Regions from separate parts of the Mus musculus genome. Here regions 2 and 3 are each reported to be linked to region 1. Evidence: microRNA targets listed by miRTarBase, many of them from high-throughput screens and not tested one by one. Region 1 holds a microRNA gene; each other region holds the end of a gene's coding sequence.

Region 1 (5,076 bases):
AAACTCTAAGCACATATAAATCAAACAGATCTATGACTGCCATTCTTATGTGTATATGTATGTGTGTGTGTATGTTCATATACATGCATGTACAAGCACACTTACCTACACATATATACACATACACAAGGACAATCAAATGAATTCCAGGCTGATCTCTAACTCATCATGAAGTTAAACATGAATTTGAACTCCGTATCCTCCTGACTCTGGAAAGAGTATCCACCTCCTAACTGAGGCATAGCTCTGGCCCAGTACTGCATAAGCTCTAAAGCTCTGAGTCACATATCATTCAAAAGGATATATGACTGTCATTCCTGTATGTGAGTTTGTATGCATGTGTGTATATGCATAGTCATATAGAGAAATGAATATGCACACAACTATACACACATGCACATTATTGGTGGGCATCACATGAATGCCAGGATGATCTCTAACTCATCAGGAAGTTAAACATAAATTAGACCTCCTGATCCTCCTGACTCTGGCAAGAATACTCACCTCCTAACTGAGACATAGCTCTGGTCCGTTACTGGATAAACTCTAAAGCTCTAAGTCACATACCATTCAAAAGGATATATGAGTGCCATTCCTGTGTGTGCTTGCGTGTATATGCATATTCATATAGAGAAATGAATATGCACACAACTATACACCCATGCACATTTTTGGTGGGCATCACACGAATCGCATCTGATCTCTAACTCATTATGAAGTTAAGCATGAATTCGAATTCCTGATCCTCCTGACTCTGGAAGGATTATTCACCCGGTGAGTGAGATCACGCACTGGCCCAGTCATACAGAACCTCTAAGACTAAGTCACATATCATTCAAATGGATCCATGAGTGGCGATTTTGCGTGTATTTGTGTGCATGCTTGTATGGGTATGTGTGTATGTATATGTATACTCATATACACACATGCACATGCACACATACATATACACACAGGCACATACACTGGGGGGGGGGGGCGCCATCACATGAATCTGAAGCTGATCCCTACCTAATCATGAATTTGAGAATGAATTTCCACTCCTGATCCTCCTGACTCTGGCAAGCATTTTCACCTTGTGAGTGAGAGCACCCACTGATCCAGCCCTGCATAATCTCTCAAACTCTAAGTCACATACCTTTAAGGCCTGACTCTGGCAAGCACTTTGACCTGTTGAGTAAGAGCATGCACGGGCACAGTACTGCATAATCTTTAAAACTCTTAGTCACATATTATGCAAGTAGATGAATGCAAGTCACCATGTGTTTGTGTGTGTGTTGCATGTGTGTGTGTGTCTGCACATGCATATCCATATACATTCATGAACATGCACACACATGTAAGCACACGTGCACATACATGGGTGGCATCAAATGAATACCAGGATGATCTCTAAATGGAGTTTGAACTCCTGATCCTCCTGACTTTGTCAATCATTTACACCTGGTGATTGAGACCATTCACTGTCCCTCTACTGCATAATCTCTAAAACTCTAAGTCATATATCATTCAAATGGATCGATGAGTACCATTCCTATGTTTGTGTGTTTCTGTGCTTGCATTTATACATGTGTGGATGTTATATATATTCATATACACACATGCACACACAACTATACACACGTTCACATGCATGGGGGGAATCACATAAATCACAGGCTGATCTCTAAGTCCTCATGAGTGTAAGCATGCATTTAAGCTCCTGATAGACCTGACTCTGGCAGTTGTCTACACCTGATGAGTGAGAACACTCACTGTCCCCGTACTGCATAATCTCTCACCTCTAAGTCACATGTTATTCAAATGGATCTAAGAGTGCCATTAATGTGTGCGTGTGCATGCATGAATATGTGTGCATGTATTTATATGTATATCAATATATATATACATGTACATGTACACACAAACACACATGCACATACATAGGGGTCATCACATGAATGCCAGGTTGATCTCTACCTCATCATGCAGTGAACATGAATTTGCACTCCTGATCATCCTGGCTCTGGCAAGGGGCGTCACCTGGTGAGTGAGACCTCTCTGTGGCCCAGTCATACAGAATCTCTAAGACTCACATATCATTGAAATGGATCGATGAGTGTCAATTTTCTGTGTGTTTGTGTGCATGTTTGTATGGGTATGTGTGTATGTATATGTATATTCATATACACACATGCACATGCACACATACATATACACACAGGCACATACACTGGGGGCATCACTAGAATCCGAAGCTGATCCTGGACTCATGAATTTGAGAATGAATTTCCACTCCTGATCCTCCTGACTCTGGCAAGCATTTTCACCTTGTGAGTGAGAGCACCCACTGATCCAGCCCTGCATAATCTCTAAAACTTTAAGTCACATGTCATTTAAAAGTATCAATGAGTGCCATTCGGGGTATGTGTGTGTGTGTGTGTGTGTGTGTGTGTATGTGTGTGTGTGTGTGTGTGTGTGTGTGTGTGTGCCTGTGTGTATGTGTTTGTGTGTATTTATATGTATATTCATATGCACACATACATTAGCACACAAAACTATGCAACATGAACATACACTGGGAAGGAACCCATAAAGCCAGGCTGATCTCTAAGCCATTTTGAAGTTATTCATAAATTTGAACTCCTAATCCTTCTGAATATGGGAAGCTTTTTCACATTGTGAGTAAAAAGTTTCATTAGCCCAATACTACATAATCTTTAAAGCTCTATGTCACACATCATTCAAATGTATCAATGAATGCCATTCCATGTTTGTGTGCTTGCATTTACATGTATGTTTATGGTATGTATATTTATATACACACATGTGCATACACAGGGACGTAAACACACATGCACATACACGGGTGGCATCACATGAATACCAGGATGATGTCCAGCTGAAGTTAAGCATGAATTTGAACTCCCGACCCTGCTCAATCTGTAATATGTTTGCACATGGCGAGTGAGACCGTTCACTGTCCCACTACTGCATAATCTCTAAAAGAATAAGTCACATAGCATTCAAATTAATGGATGAATTCAATTCCTCTGTGTGTGAGAGTGTATGTGCTTGCATTTGTGTGTGTGTGTGCGTGCGTATGATATATATATTCACATACACACAAGCACATGCACACACAAATATACACACATGGACATACATGGCTGAGAATCACATGAATCACAGGCTGATCTTAAAATCATCATGAAGTTAAGCATGAATTTGAACTCCTAAAACTCCTGATTCCAGCATACATTTTGACCTGGAGAGTGAGATCACGCACTGTCCCAGAACTGCATAATCTCTAAAACTCTAAGTGACATATCATTCAAATGGATCGATGAGTGTCATTTGTGTGTGTGTGTGTGTGCCGCATGTGTGTGCATGTGTCTGTATATGCAAAATCATATACATACATCCACATGCACACACACGAAAACACACATCGACATAAATGGGTGGCATCACATGAATGATCTATAACTGAAGTTAAGCATGAATTTGAAATCCTGATTAACCTGACTCTGTCAATCATTTACACCTGGTGAGTGAAACCATTCACTGTCCCCTATTGCATAATCTCTAAAACTCTTAAGTCAGTTATCATTCAAATGGATTGATGAGTGTCATTCTTGTGTCTGTGTGTGTGTGCTTGTGTTTATACGTGTGTGTGTATGTTATGTATATTCAAATACACACATAAACATGCACACACAACTATACACACATGCACATGCATGGAGGAATCACAGGCTGATCTCTCATGAGGATAAGTATGAATTTGAACTCGGGATACTCTTAACTCTAGCAAGGATTTTCACCTAGAGAATGAGAGCACTCACTGGCCAAGTACTGCATAATCTCTAATATGCTAAGTGACATATCATTCAAATGGATCAATGAGTGGCATTCGTGTGTGTGTGTGTGCTGCATGTGTCTGTACATGTATACTCATATATATACATTCACATGCACACACCTGTAAACACACATGCACATACACGGGTGGCATCACATGAATACCAGGATGATGTCCAGCTGAAGTTAAGCATGAATTTGAACTCCTGATCTTCTTGAATCTGCAAATTGTTTACACATGATGAGTGCGACCATTCATTACCCACTACTACATAATCTATAAGACTGTAAATCACATATCCTCTGTGTGTGTGTGTGTGTGTGTGCACGCACGCGCATGCAAGCGCACATGCACGTGTGTCTATGTATGCTCTCATGTATATGCATATTCATATACACACATGTACATGTACGCACACACAAACACACATGCACATACACAGGAGCCATCACATGAATGCCAGGCTGATCTCCAACTCATCATGCAACCAACATGAATTTACACTCTTGATCATCCTGAATCTGGCAAGGGTCTTTACCTTGTGAGTGAGAGCATTCATTGGCCCAGCACGGCATACTCTCTAAAACTCACATGTCACATGTCACATGTCACTCAAAATGATCTATGGGTGCCATTTCTGTGTGTGTGTATATCTGTGCATGCTTGTATATGTTTGTGTGGATGTATATGTATATTCATATACACACATGCACATGCACACAAAACTATACACACATGCAAATATATTGTGGGGAACCCCATAAAATCAGGCTGATCTCTACTCTCTTTTGAATTTATTTATGAATATGAATTCCTGACCCCTCTGAATATGGCAAGCTTTTACATAGTGAGAAAAACTTTCATTTGACCAGTACTACATAACCTTTAAAGCTCAAAATCACATATCATTCAAACATATCAATGAATTCCATTCCTTGTGTGTATGTGTGCATACGTGTGTCCATATACATGTATGTTTATGTTATATATATATATATATATATATATATATATATATATATATGTATATATATATATATATATATATATTCATTTACACAGATGTACACGCACACACATGTAAACACACATGCACATACATGGGTGGCATCACAGGAATACCAGGATAATCTCTAACTGAAGTTAATCATGAATTTGAAATCCTGATTCTCCAGACTTTGTCAATCATTTACAGCTGGTGACTGAGACCATTCACTGTCCCACTACTGCAG
Region 2 (5,076 bases), not on the chromosome of region 1:
ATGTCACTTGTCATGTTTGTAGAAAGTATTGTGTCAAGATAATATTTCTGATTCTCTCCCACTGACTTTGCATCCTGATACCACTGAATTCCTGACATTCCAGTTAATTTCTTCAGGATAGATGGTGTTAGGGCTCTCACCACTTGTAGACTAGCAGCAAGCAGCATGTAGTATTTAACTTCCATCTGAGCTTCCATCTGAGGGTTCTGTAGGTGCCCCTGGGATCGGGTGAGATTGGAAGTATCACTGTCAGCCTGGAGAGGAACATTAGAAATGGGCCTTATCCTTGCTTCCAACCCCAGTGCAGTAATAAGCCAGGGAAGGGAGATTGTAAACCATTGATTTGAACCAAATAAAGGAGTTGAAAATAAATTGTGCTATCTGCTCTATTTGTCCCTAAAGTCAAATTTACCTAACACATAACACAAGTAGCCCCATTCAATTGCATCAAAGGACTTCTTGGCATGTAATACGATTGTCACCATGCATTCGGATTTTCTCTTGTATTTTAGATGAGCTACATTAGCCTATGCAGATGACCCAGTGCTTCTCACCAGGTATACAGGCTTCTTGAAGAAAGGTCTATTAGGCCTTGATTATTTATTCATGTACCATGTATTCAGGTAGTCAGTTTTTATACCTACCTACATTATATGAAAGCGTATTTTTTTTTACAGTACCACTAGGGGAATAATATGTAATTTAAGTATAAGGCTAAATGGATATATGTAATGGGATAAAGAATAGTAGGCTACCTTGACTCCAAACCACAAATAGCGTCTTATGCTTTAAAAACTCAGTACAAACCATTTAAATGCATTACATTTATTCTTAGTCTATTTGTGAAACTAGTGGCTGTTCAGTGTGCTGATGGCAGGAGCAGTTAATGTGTTGGTAGGTGACCTAAATTTGATGAAGCTGTTTTGAAAGTGACTTCATGCCACAGAAAGAAGCATTTATTACTTCTTGGTTTTTGGTTGACATTGCAAGGCTGCCCAAATATCCATTCTTCAGCTCACCATGCATAACAAAGAGGGAGGCACAAAATGCCTCCATGGGAGAATCCTTAGTATAACAATCACAAGGCATACTTCCTCCGAATAGGACTGATATATTTCAAAGCCTTTTCTTTCCCAAGTACTGATCAAGCTCTGATGATCTGTACTTGGTGCTCTGGGAATAGAGAATTGTGCATAAACAGAAAACCGAACAGTGGAGAATAGGCATAAAGGCAGCCACTAATCTTGAAGATCATACAATCCATACTGAGTGAGACAACACAGTGACAGTAGGAAGGGCTGGCAATGGAGCCAGCTCGCATCTGAGTTCTCTTCTTAACTTGGCAGTGTCCTTGACAAACAGATAACACTGGGCTTTGCTTCCCTCATTTACAGAGAGGAATACAAACTCATTACCAGTGGCTGTTCACTTGGTTGTTTGCTTGTTTTGAGACTATGTCTCCCTTTGTGGCCAGTCATTGGCAGGCCTCTCCCTCCCAAAGGCTGATTACTGACACCCATCACCACCATTCCTGGCCACAGTTATAAAGGTCAAAAAAAGGCATCATAAAGACTTCAATCAAGCATTTAATGCTCAATAAATGTTTGCTGTTTTGTTACAATCATCTTAATAATAAAGTCGATGAATATATGCATTAAGACATATATTTTCATCAATCCCAAGATAATCAAGTCCAATACCACACCTAGTGTTCATTTGAAGTATCATGACATTATACTGGAAAAATAATGACATTCAACACACACAACTGTGTGTGTACTGTGAAGATTTACATTGTGGTTAACTTATACAAAAGCACTTTTAAAACTACAGAATCCAAAGACAGGAATTCAAGCAGAAATACAAACACTACTTCCAACTAAAACAAAACAAAACAAAAAAAAAAACCTTTTCTATCATTAATCTTCTGTATTAACTGAATACATTAGATAGGCCCAAGAGATAAACATTTACTATAAACACACTGGTCAGATATAGTTTAAGATATTGTCAAGAACAAAGGTAGATGATTTTTCCTAGACTGTCATTCATTTGACTCCAGTTACACAGATGTGCAAAACAAAAAGTATGTACTGGATAGCTTAATGCATAGAACAGAACACTCTCCACTCTGGATCCATGGAATTTTGTGCTTCCACAGGTGATTTTTTTAAGCTACTTTTGGGCTTGAGAGATAGCTCAGCAGTTAACAGCACTTGTTGCTTATACAGAAGACGAGCTTTTGATTCCAAGCACCTATATGGTGGTTCAAAACCATCTATATATCTCAGTTCTGGAGGACCTGATGTCCAGTTCTGACTTCCCCATGCAACAGGTATGCACATGGTACGCAGACATACATGTTGCCAAGATATTTATACATATAAAATAAGATAAAAATAAATAAATCTTAATGAAAATAAAAAGCTAATTTCCAATTTCAAGTATGCTTTGTGATTTTTCTCTCCTGCTCTAGCCTTCCCCCTTCCCTCTCTCCTCCCTACATCATCCTTGAGGAGGGTCTTGCTAGGCAGCCAAGGCTGACTTGAATTTATAATTCTTCCACCTCAGCCCCCAAAATGCTGTGACTACAGGTGTGCAGTGCCATGTCTGCCACTGTGATTTTTCTTAATAGTTGGAAAAATGTTTGGATCCAACTGAAGCATTTCTAAAGAAAAATTTAAGATTGAAAATTGATTTTAAAAAAGCCTAAGTATAAATATAGAAGCACACACAAAATTCTTGGGATATGTGTAAATAGAGACCACTCTGAATGGTTTGGGGTCTTGGTAATAAAGAATTGACTCTTATTAGGTAGGCATCTTCTATATTAATATGTGACATCACACTCTCATATAACATTTTATAACCAAGTGAAATAAAAAGCCACTCCAGATTGCAACTGTAAGATAATCAGATTCTGTAGTACTCATTATGACTGCAATTATGTAACAAAACACTCCAAATATAGTTCAGTTATTGCCGTTATTAATCATTCTGGTTTTGTTTCAAGTGCTTGCTTTATAGCCTGCTGGATAGACTCCATTATTCTACAAGCTGAATGTCGAAAGTCAAATGCGTGCGTGTGAATCTGTTGCTCTAAAGGCCTTTGAACATAATTTACCCTTTCAGTTTGTATTTGTGAATAAATGCAAATGGGGAGAAATCAAGCTGGTGTCAACAGAGTCACTGCCCTCTGCAGTAAACAGAAGACAGTCCTTAACTTAACACAGAACAACTCCGCAAACAAGAAACCTATTTTGCTAGAACTAGAAATTGTGCTGCTTAAGAAGTTAGCCTCCGAATACCAATTATTCCTACTAAAAGATTCTGCAGATTTGATGAGGAAACAGTAAAAGTGTTGACAAATACACATTTTTAATGGAAAGATTTAAAACACTCATGTTATAGAATACGGTCCTAAACATTTTATGCACAGAACTCAGTATTCTAATTAATTTATCTATAAAGTCCCAATTAAAAGACAAAAAATTATTATACAGAACCAACACCATCTGTCCCACTTTAAATCATCACTATACATATATTTCCAGGAGCAAAATTGTACCTGAAAATTTCTTAATCCTATGCTCATTGAGGCTGAAATACTAACTAAACAGAAGCCAAGTGGTCCTAGGGAAAGTGGCTCTGTAAGTAGTTAAACACTAACTGTAGGGGCGGTTCTGATGCTGTCCTGTTCCTCAATTGGTTCTTGATCTGTCAGTAAAGAAGCCATAGCCAATTGTGGGGAGGAAGGAATAAGTGAAACTTCCAGGTCCCTGAAGGAAAAAAGACAGACACAAGGAAGGAGAGACAGAGTTTGCTGGTCTTCTGATGGAGAAAAGTTGTCCAGCCATGTGAGATCTCAAAATGGGGTGGCCACACAGGCTGCTCTTATAGACCGGTGGTCAGGGGAGTTTAGCAGCTAAAGTTTAGGGTGGGTGGGAGATGTGGACTAAGAATACTGATAAGAGCATGTTTTTCCAGGCGGGAGATAACAGCATGCAGCAATTGTGCCAAGAAGGTAAGTTGAAAAGGAATAGCCGTGTGATGTGTGTGTGTGTGTGTGTGTGTGTGTGTGTGTGCGCGCGCGCGCGCTCGACTTTTATCCGTGGATTCAAGGGAAGGTGGGTGGGAGCTGGTAGCTCAGTCCATTCCTGGAACTAAGGCAGAGAAGCAAAGAGCTACACCTAACAACTAACACGTGGTGAGCTCAGAAAATATGCATTCAATAACACATCAGCATGGCTTACAAAATTCGCCTTGCCTTTTTCTTGTACTCATCCCTTTTTTCAGTTTGGCTATATACATTGGGCCCCAAGCTTTGCCCTTTTCCGGAATCACCAAAAGGCTGCATTTCTGGTCAGTAGGGGCAAATGTGAAGTCTTGGGAGAAAGTCCTTGCTATCCCACTAATATCCACAGGTACGATGTTACTGTCGGAAGTTAAGACCTCGCTGATCACATCTTGATTTTCAGCCTTGGAAAGCGTGCATGTAGAGTACACGAGGAGCCCTCCGGGGCGCAAGGCTTTAATTGCAGACCTGTGTATAATGGAGAAAATAGAAGAGTTAGGCACAAGTCAAGTAGGCAATCCAAGTCAAGGAAACGACATACCAGCCTTACTCCGGCTAAGGATACAGTAACTAGTGGTTTTCTGACCCTAGTTATAGTTTGTTTGCATTTATCACTGCAAACAAACCAGATACATCAAGATGGAAAAGTCAGAGAAAGTGAGTTTAGCTGATGATTGGTTCCTTTAATGATAGGGAGCCAGGGAAAGAAAAGAGATACTGTGTTTTAAGTCATGGAAATATAATAGGAAAAAAAAACACTCTAATTGAAAACAGACAAAAAAAAAAAAATCATTGATCTTACTCTGTGTACTCCAGGTTGGCCTATCATGTAAAATCAGAGGTTATTCACCTAGGAAGAGGAATAAGTAATTTGTGGGGATATAAGGCAGCTGTGGTGGTCTATTCCTCAAACCCAAGACCTTTGCCCTCTACTTTAAAGGGATCCTCTAGAGCAGTGGATTCAAAGGTCCTAATACTGCACGCCTTTAAATCAGTTCCTC
Region 3 (5,076 bases), not on the chromosome of region 1:
AGGGTAGCCTGGTGATCCAGTAAGTTCAGCTATTGCCACTGAAACACACAAGTGTTCCCATAGACGCCTTTGCTCGGCACAAACAATCTGTGGTTTGAGAAAGAAAATTCCAGAGCCTTGTCTACAGTAGCAGAGTTGGGGAAAATTTATAGTTGTGTTCTTAGAATTCCATCTGAAGAACCCAAAAGCCCTGGGCTGATATTTCAGTTCTGTTGTTTACCAGCAGGTGGGCTTGCAAGCCAGAAGTCTTAAAAGAGAAAGTTTAAAGTTTAAAGAGAGGACCACACATCACTCACCCCCGGTATACACATCTGGGCAGCTGTAGTCAGCAAATGACAGGTTTCCCCAGCTGTTGAATGCGAAGCAAAACTAATTTCAACATAGATCGTTTCTGCCCATAGACCGAAAGGAGGTGAATTTAAGAAGGGCAGGGCATCTGTTGGTAGGAGTGCAGGCAACGGGAAGTGTGGACCCCAGAAGGGAGAGCACACTGGGACCCAGCTCTGTCTCTAAACTGAGAGAGCTCTGCTCTCGCTCCAGCCATCTTTGGATCTCACCACTGCTGTGGCATGTCCTCTTCTGGCTCCGTCCTCTGAACAGGGGATGGAGCCCCAGGGCCAGAGTGCTGCTGCATCGGAAGTTGCTGGAAGCTGGAGACACAGTTGTTTGCATGCATGCCCTTTCCTCTGGTCATCTACAGCCAGCGGAGCAGGTGTGTGCCAGTCCTCTAAAACACCCTCCTCTCCCTCCTCTCAGGCGTGGCCAGTCGACTGCTGGGGCCATCGTTCGAGCCTTACCTGTTGCCGGAACTGACCAGATATGACTGTGAGGTGAACGTGCCCGTGCCTGGAAGCTCCACACTCCTGCAGGGGAGAGACCTTCTCAGAGCTCTGGACCAGGCCACCTGAGCCAGGGCCTCTGGCCGGGCATGCCCCTGCCTGCCCCGCCGTCTTGACCTGCCAGCTTCACTTCCATCTGTGTTGCTATTAGGTATCTCTAACACCAGCACACTTCTTACGAGATGTACTCAACCTGGCCTACTGGCCAGGTCACCAAGCAGTGGCCTTTATCTGACATGCTCACTTTATTATCCATGTTTTAAAAATACATAGTTGTTGTACCTGCTATGTTTTACCGTTGATGAAAGTGTTCTGAAATTTTATAAGATTTCCCCCTCCCTCCCTCCCTTGAATTACTTCTAATTTATATTCCCCAAAGGTTTTTCTCTCTCTCATTCATATCCATACTAACAAGCATGGTGGCTGGTGCCTCTCCCTAGGAAAGCTTTGGCGTCATTCAACTCAAGTGTTCTTGTTCTTGTTGCCAAAGAGAAAAGGATTTTCCTCCACTGTGGATTCTCCCTCTCCCCCACCCCCACATACACACACACACACACACACCCCTACACACATATACACACATGCACGTATGCGTGCACACACACACACACACACACACACACACACACACACCCCTACACACACACACACACACACACATATACACACACACACACACACACACACACACCCCTACACACATATACACACATGCACGTATGCGTGCACACACACACACACACACACACACACCCCTACACACATATACACACATGCACGTATGCGTGCACACACACACACACACACACACATCTAATCACCATATTGTAAAATTTTGTGTTTTTAAAGCCAACTCTTTGCTCCGGTTTTTTCATACGACTTAGTATGGGGCAAAAAAGCAATGTGAAGAATCAACTCTAGGGTTACCTGTGAAGCCACGCGGTGGTGTTCGAAGCTGTCTGGTAATGCCCCCATCTCTCCCCGGGTCCAGTGGATTTTTTTAACTATTATTCAAAAGCAAAACTGAGTTTTGTTTTGTTTGGTTTTTTAAGAAGAATTTATATCCGGGTTTAGTGTTTATCATATATATGGGTACTCTGTAATATCTAAAAGCTTAGAAATGGGATCTTGCTCACAAGAATCACTTTTAAGATCTTTTAGGGCTGTTAATTTTATTTTTCTCAGTGTTCTGGACACTGTAGACCTGTGCAGTACTCCCACAGGCCTGACTAACCGCCACAGATCTCTCTTTCTTTCTCTCTGGTGACTTTTTGCTTTTGTGATATGGCAGCGGTGTGACAGTCCCAGGAGAGAAGTCATTAAGGGGGAACATTGCAAGCTATCTTTTCGTGTTCTCAGTGTATTATGTACGTGTGTGCTGTTGCCGCTATGAGGGCTCGGGGCTTGCAGGCTCTGAGGGCATGTCGCAGGCGAGCTGGAAGGAAGCGCTCTCACTTTTTTTCAGGCAATGTTGCTAGCCCTTCTAGCACACTGAGCTACGAGACTGCCAATCTCTCTCCTGCGGCACGTTTGGGTTGGCACAGCTACCATGAAATGTTTTTAATGGGAATTCATAAAGCAAGTTAGGATTCACAAATGTAGTGACCTAGTCCTTGGAGCTAAACTGGGAGTGGGTGCCAGGTGGAGGGTAGCAGGTCTGACCAGCCCTACACCCTGCCACAGATCACAGCTTGCCGGGCAAATGACCCTGCGAAGCCACGGTGCAGCGCCCCCTGCTGGCGAGCAGCGGGCAGACCTCCAAGGACAGCCTCTAGCTGAGGTCTCAGTCACATGAAGTGTGACACTGAACAGGTAGAAAGCACTGAAAATCGTGTTCCAAGAGCACTTTGTAACTCACTGAGGGGGAGGGGAAGCACCTTTTGGGTTTGCGATACCAATCAACATAAGGTGTTGTTGACTCGGGTACAATAAAACTCTCAACACACACAAAGCCCATCAGGCAAGAGTACAGTAAGCCTAAGGGGACTTGCTGCTCAAACCAAAAATTAACTCTGAAGGTCAGTCTACCTGACATTACCTAGGCATGGTGTTGTCCAAGCTGCGCATCGGTGCACAGTGTGGCCTGGCACACACGCAGGCGGGCGACGGAACTTGAAGGGTTATTGACATGCAAATGCTGGTGTTTGATTTCCTGTGTTGTTGCCTCAGCGTTAAGGGCATTTCCGTTTGCAGTTCTACTAAAGACACTCTGAGAAATATTCCGAGTTTCGTATTAACCTTTCCTGTCCATGTAACAACTTCATGACCATTACTGCATTGTCAAATTCCTACTGACGACATTATAACTGTACGGGAGCTTAACTTTATAAGGAAATGTATTTTGACACTGATATCTTATTAAAGTATTCTGATCCTATCCTGCTCGTGCCTCTTGTTTTCTGTGCATTTACCGTGGACTGTGCCGTTGGAAAAATAGGGTTCTTACTCAAGAGCACACAGAAATGGACTTTGGAGCTAAACTAGACCAGCCTGAGACCACCCCACAGGAAGTCCAATGAAGGAAGGCGTTTGTGCCTGACAGTTGCCTGAGCCCAGGAGCTGGTCGCTATCTTCTGCATTTCTGTAGCTACTATGTGTCTAGCCAAGGCCCTTTCCTTGCATGCTGGGAAAGAAGGGAAGAAACCATGGGCTCTCACTTCAGAGACCCACACGAGGCACTGAGGTCCAAGGAGAAGGGCACCCTGGGCCAAGGGCATCACTGTAGAGTCAAGGCCTTCCTAGGTAGTATAGTAGGTAGGAAAGAAAAAGTCTTCAGGCAGAGACCGAGCACAGCAGAAGCTTACTGCTAGGCATGGACCTGATGGGTCCCTATTCCAGATGTGGCTTCTGTGAAAGCCACTCTTCTGGTGATCAAGGGGGAGGGATAAGGCCAGCAGCATCTCTTACAGTCAGCCCTACATATAATCAGCTGTCCCAGTATCCCTTGTGCTCCTGATGTCTTGGGTTCACAATGATCTCCTTAGCTCCATCGGCCTAAGCAATGCCATGCGTATAATTTCGTAGATGAGACTAGGACCCACAGTGACTTACTTCCACATGTCACACAGTCACAAGGCTCAAGACCCAGAGCTGGCTGTGAGCTATGGCTTATGCTAGGGCCTGTTTACATTTTCAAATAGAAAACTCCTGTCTGAGCACGGAGCCGCCGGCTCGGCGAGTAAGAGCACTTGCCCTGGTACAAGACCAGGGTTTCATTTCTAACGCCCACATGACGGCTCACAACTATCTATAACCCAGTCCCAGCAGCTCTGATGTCTACTTTTGGTGCCTTCATGGGCACCAGGTAGGCACATTGTACACATATATGCACGTGAGCAAAACATACCACATAAAATAACAAATCTAAAAAGAACACTCCAGTCAGTCTTAGTTTAACTCTAGGCATTGTGGGGATTTTGCTTCTATTCTTTTCCTCCTGACTTGATCTCTGGATCTTGAGTTGGAGTTTCTGGGCCCGGCCAAACTCCCCCTCACCTTCATCCACCATCTTGGGCTCTCCTCTTCCTCGGCTCCCCTGGGAATGGCAGACTTCTCCTGGAGGAGCACTCTCCTTGTCCCCAGTGACTTCAGAGGGGCCTATAATGCTGTTCTTTGGCTTTAACCCCATACCTAAAGCTCTGGTTGACCCTCCAGGCCCTGGTGGAGTGGGCACAGTATTCAATGCCTCTGACTTCAAAGTTCAGCAAGCAAGCAAAGGGGAAAAATAAGATGCCACTGTTCCTGATGGGTTGGTAGGAATTTGCTCTTCTTTGGGGTATGTGAGCCTAAGACGCAGTGCCCACGTCAGCCACTGCTGCTTCACATATTGTATCAAGGTGTTCAGGAAAGACTGGCTTGTCTCCTCCCGATTTTACGTTGTGGTTTAGGAGCAGGTATGTTCCGGCATGTGGCGCACACAGCAGCAGGATCAGGTCCCTGCGTGAAAGTGAGAGCCGTTGAGCCTCTTGAGCTCCTCCTGGCTGTAGGAGTCTCCTCTCAGTGGGGCTATCTCAGCCTCAGTGTTAACACAGTAGCCTCCAAATCAGAACACTTTCTGGGAGGGGAACTCAGACCCCAAGGTTGGAGCACCAGGGGCTCCTCCTCACCCCATGGAGCTTGGCCAACCCCATCCCCTCAAAGCAGGACAGATTGGTCAAATGCTGAGCTGTGGTTTACCTGAAGATATGATGCAGACCCGTATCCTCTATGACATCTAAGCTTCAACCACCTCCTGCCT

Evidence for each region. The annotated mature microRNA mmu-miR-466h-5p reads UGUGUGCAUGUGCUUGUGUGUA and lies in region 1 at 3,101-3,122, opposite strand. An mRNA with a match to its seed (bases 2 to 7 or 8) in the 3' UTR can be bound and repressed. Matches are read on the target gene's strand: a 7mer-m8 pairs with bases 2 to 8, a 7mer-A1 pairs with bases 2 to 7 and ends in A, and an 8mer does both.
Region 2: miRTarBase lists Nsun3 as a target of mmu-miR-466h-5p. Seed matches in the 3' UTR shown: 7mer-A1 at 4,080-4,086.
Region 3: miRTarBase lists Epas1 as a target of mmu-miR-466h-5p. Seed matches in the 3' UTR shown: 8mer at 1,434-1,441, 8mer at 1,564-1,571, 8mer at 1,626-1,633 and 7mer-A1 at 2,926-2,932.

Annotation. Positions count from the first base shown.
Region 1 is chr2:10,512,947-10,518,022 of GRCm38, reverse strand. It overlaps Mir466h (microRNA 466h), which reads right to left and starts at 3,132; the gene lies at 3,052-3,132. All of the region lies in intron 10 of Sfmbt2 (Scm-like with four mbt domains 2), which reads right to left. Mir669m-2 (microRNA 669m-2) reads right to left here and starts at 4,589; the gene lies at 4,492-4,589. Mir466n (microRNA 466n) reads right to left here and starts at 4,282; the gene lies at 4,189-4,282. It also overlaps Mir669o, Mir466g, Mir297a-3, Mir466l, Mir297a-4 and Mir669i.
Region 2 is chr16:62,730,876-62,735,951 of GRCm38, forward strand. Nsun3 (NOL1/NOP2/Sun domain family member 3) reads right to left here. Exons shown (of 6, transcript NM_178925.3): 6 at 3,977-4,543. The coding sequence ends at 4,240. Among named protein-coding and RNA genes, the nearest start is that of Gm52231, 22 kb to the right of the region's middle.
Region 3 is chr17:86,830,195-86,835,270 of GRCm38, forward strand. It overlaps Epas1 (endothelial PAS domain protein 1), which reads left to right. Exons shown (of 16, transcript NM_010137.3): 16 at 757-3,216. The coding sequence ends at 908. Among named protein-coding and RNA genes, the nearest start is that of Epas1, 79 kb to the left of the region's middle.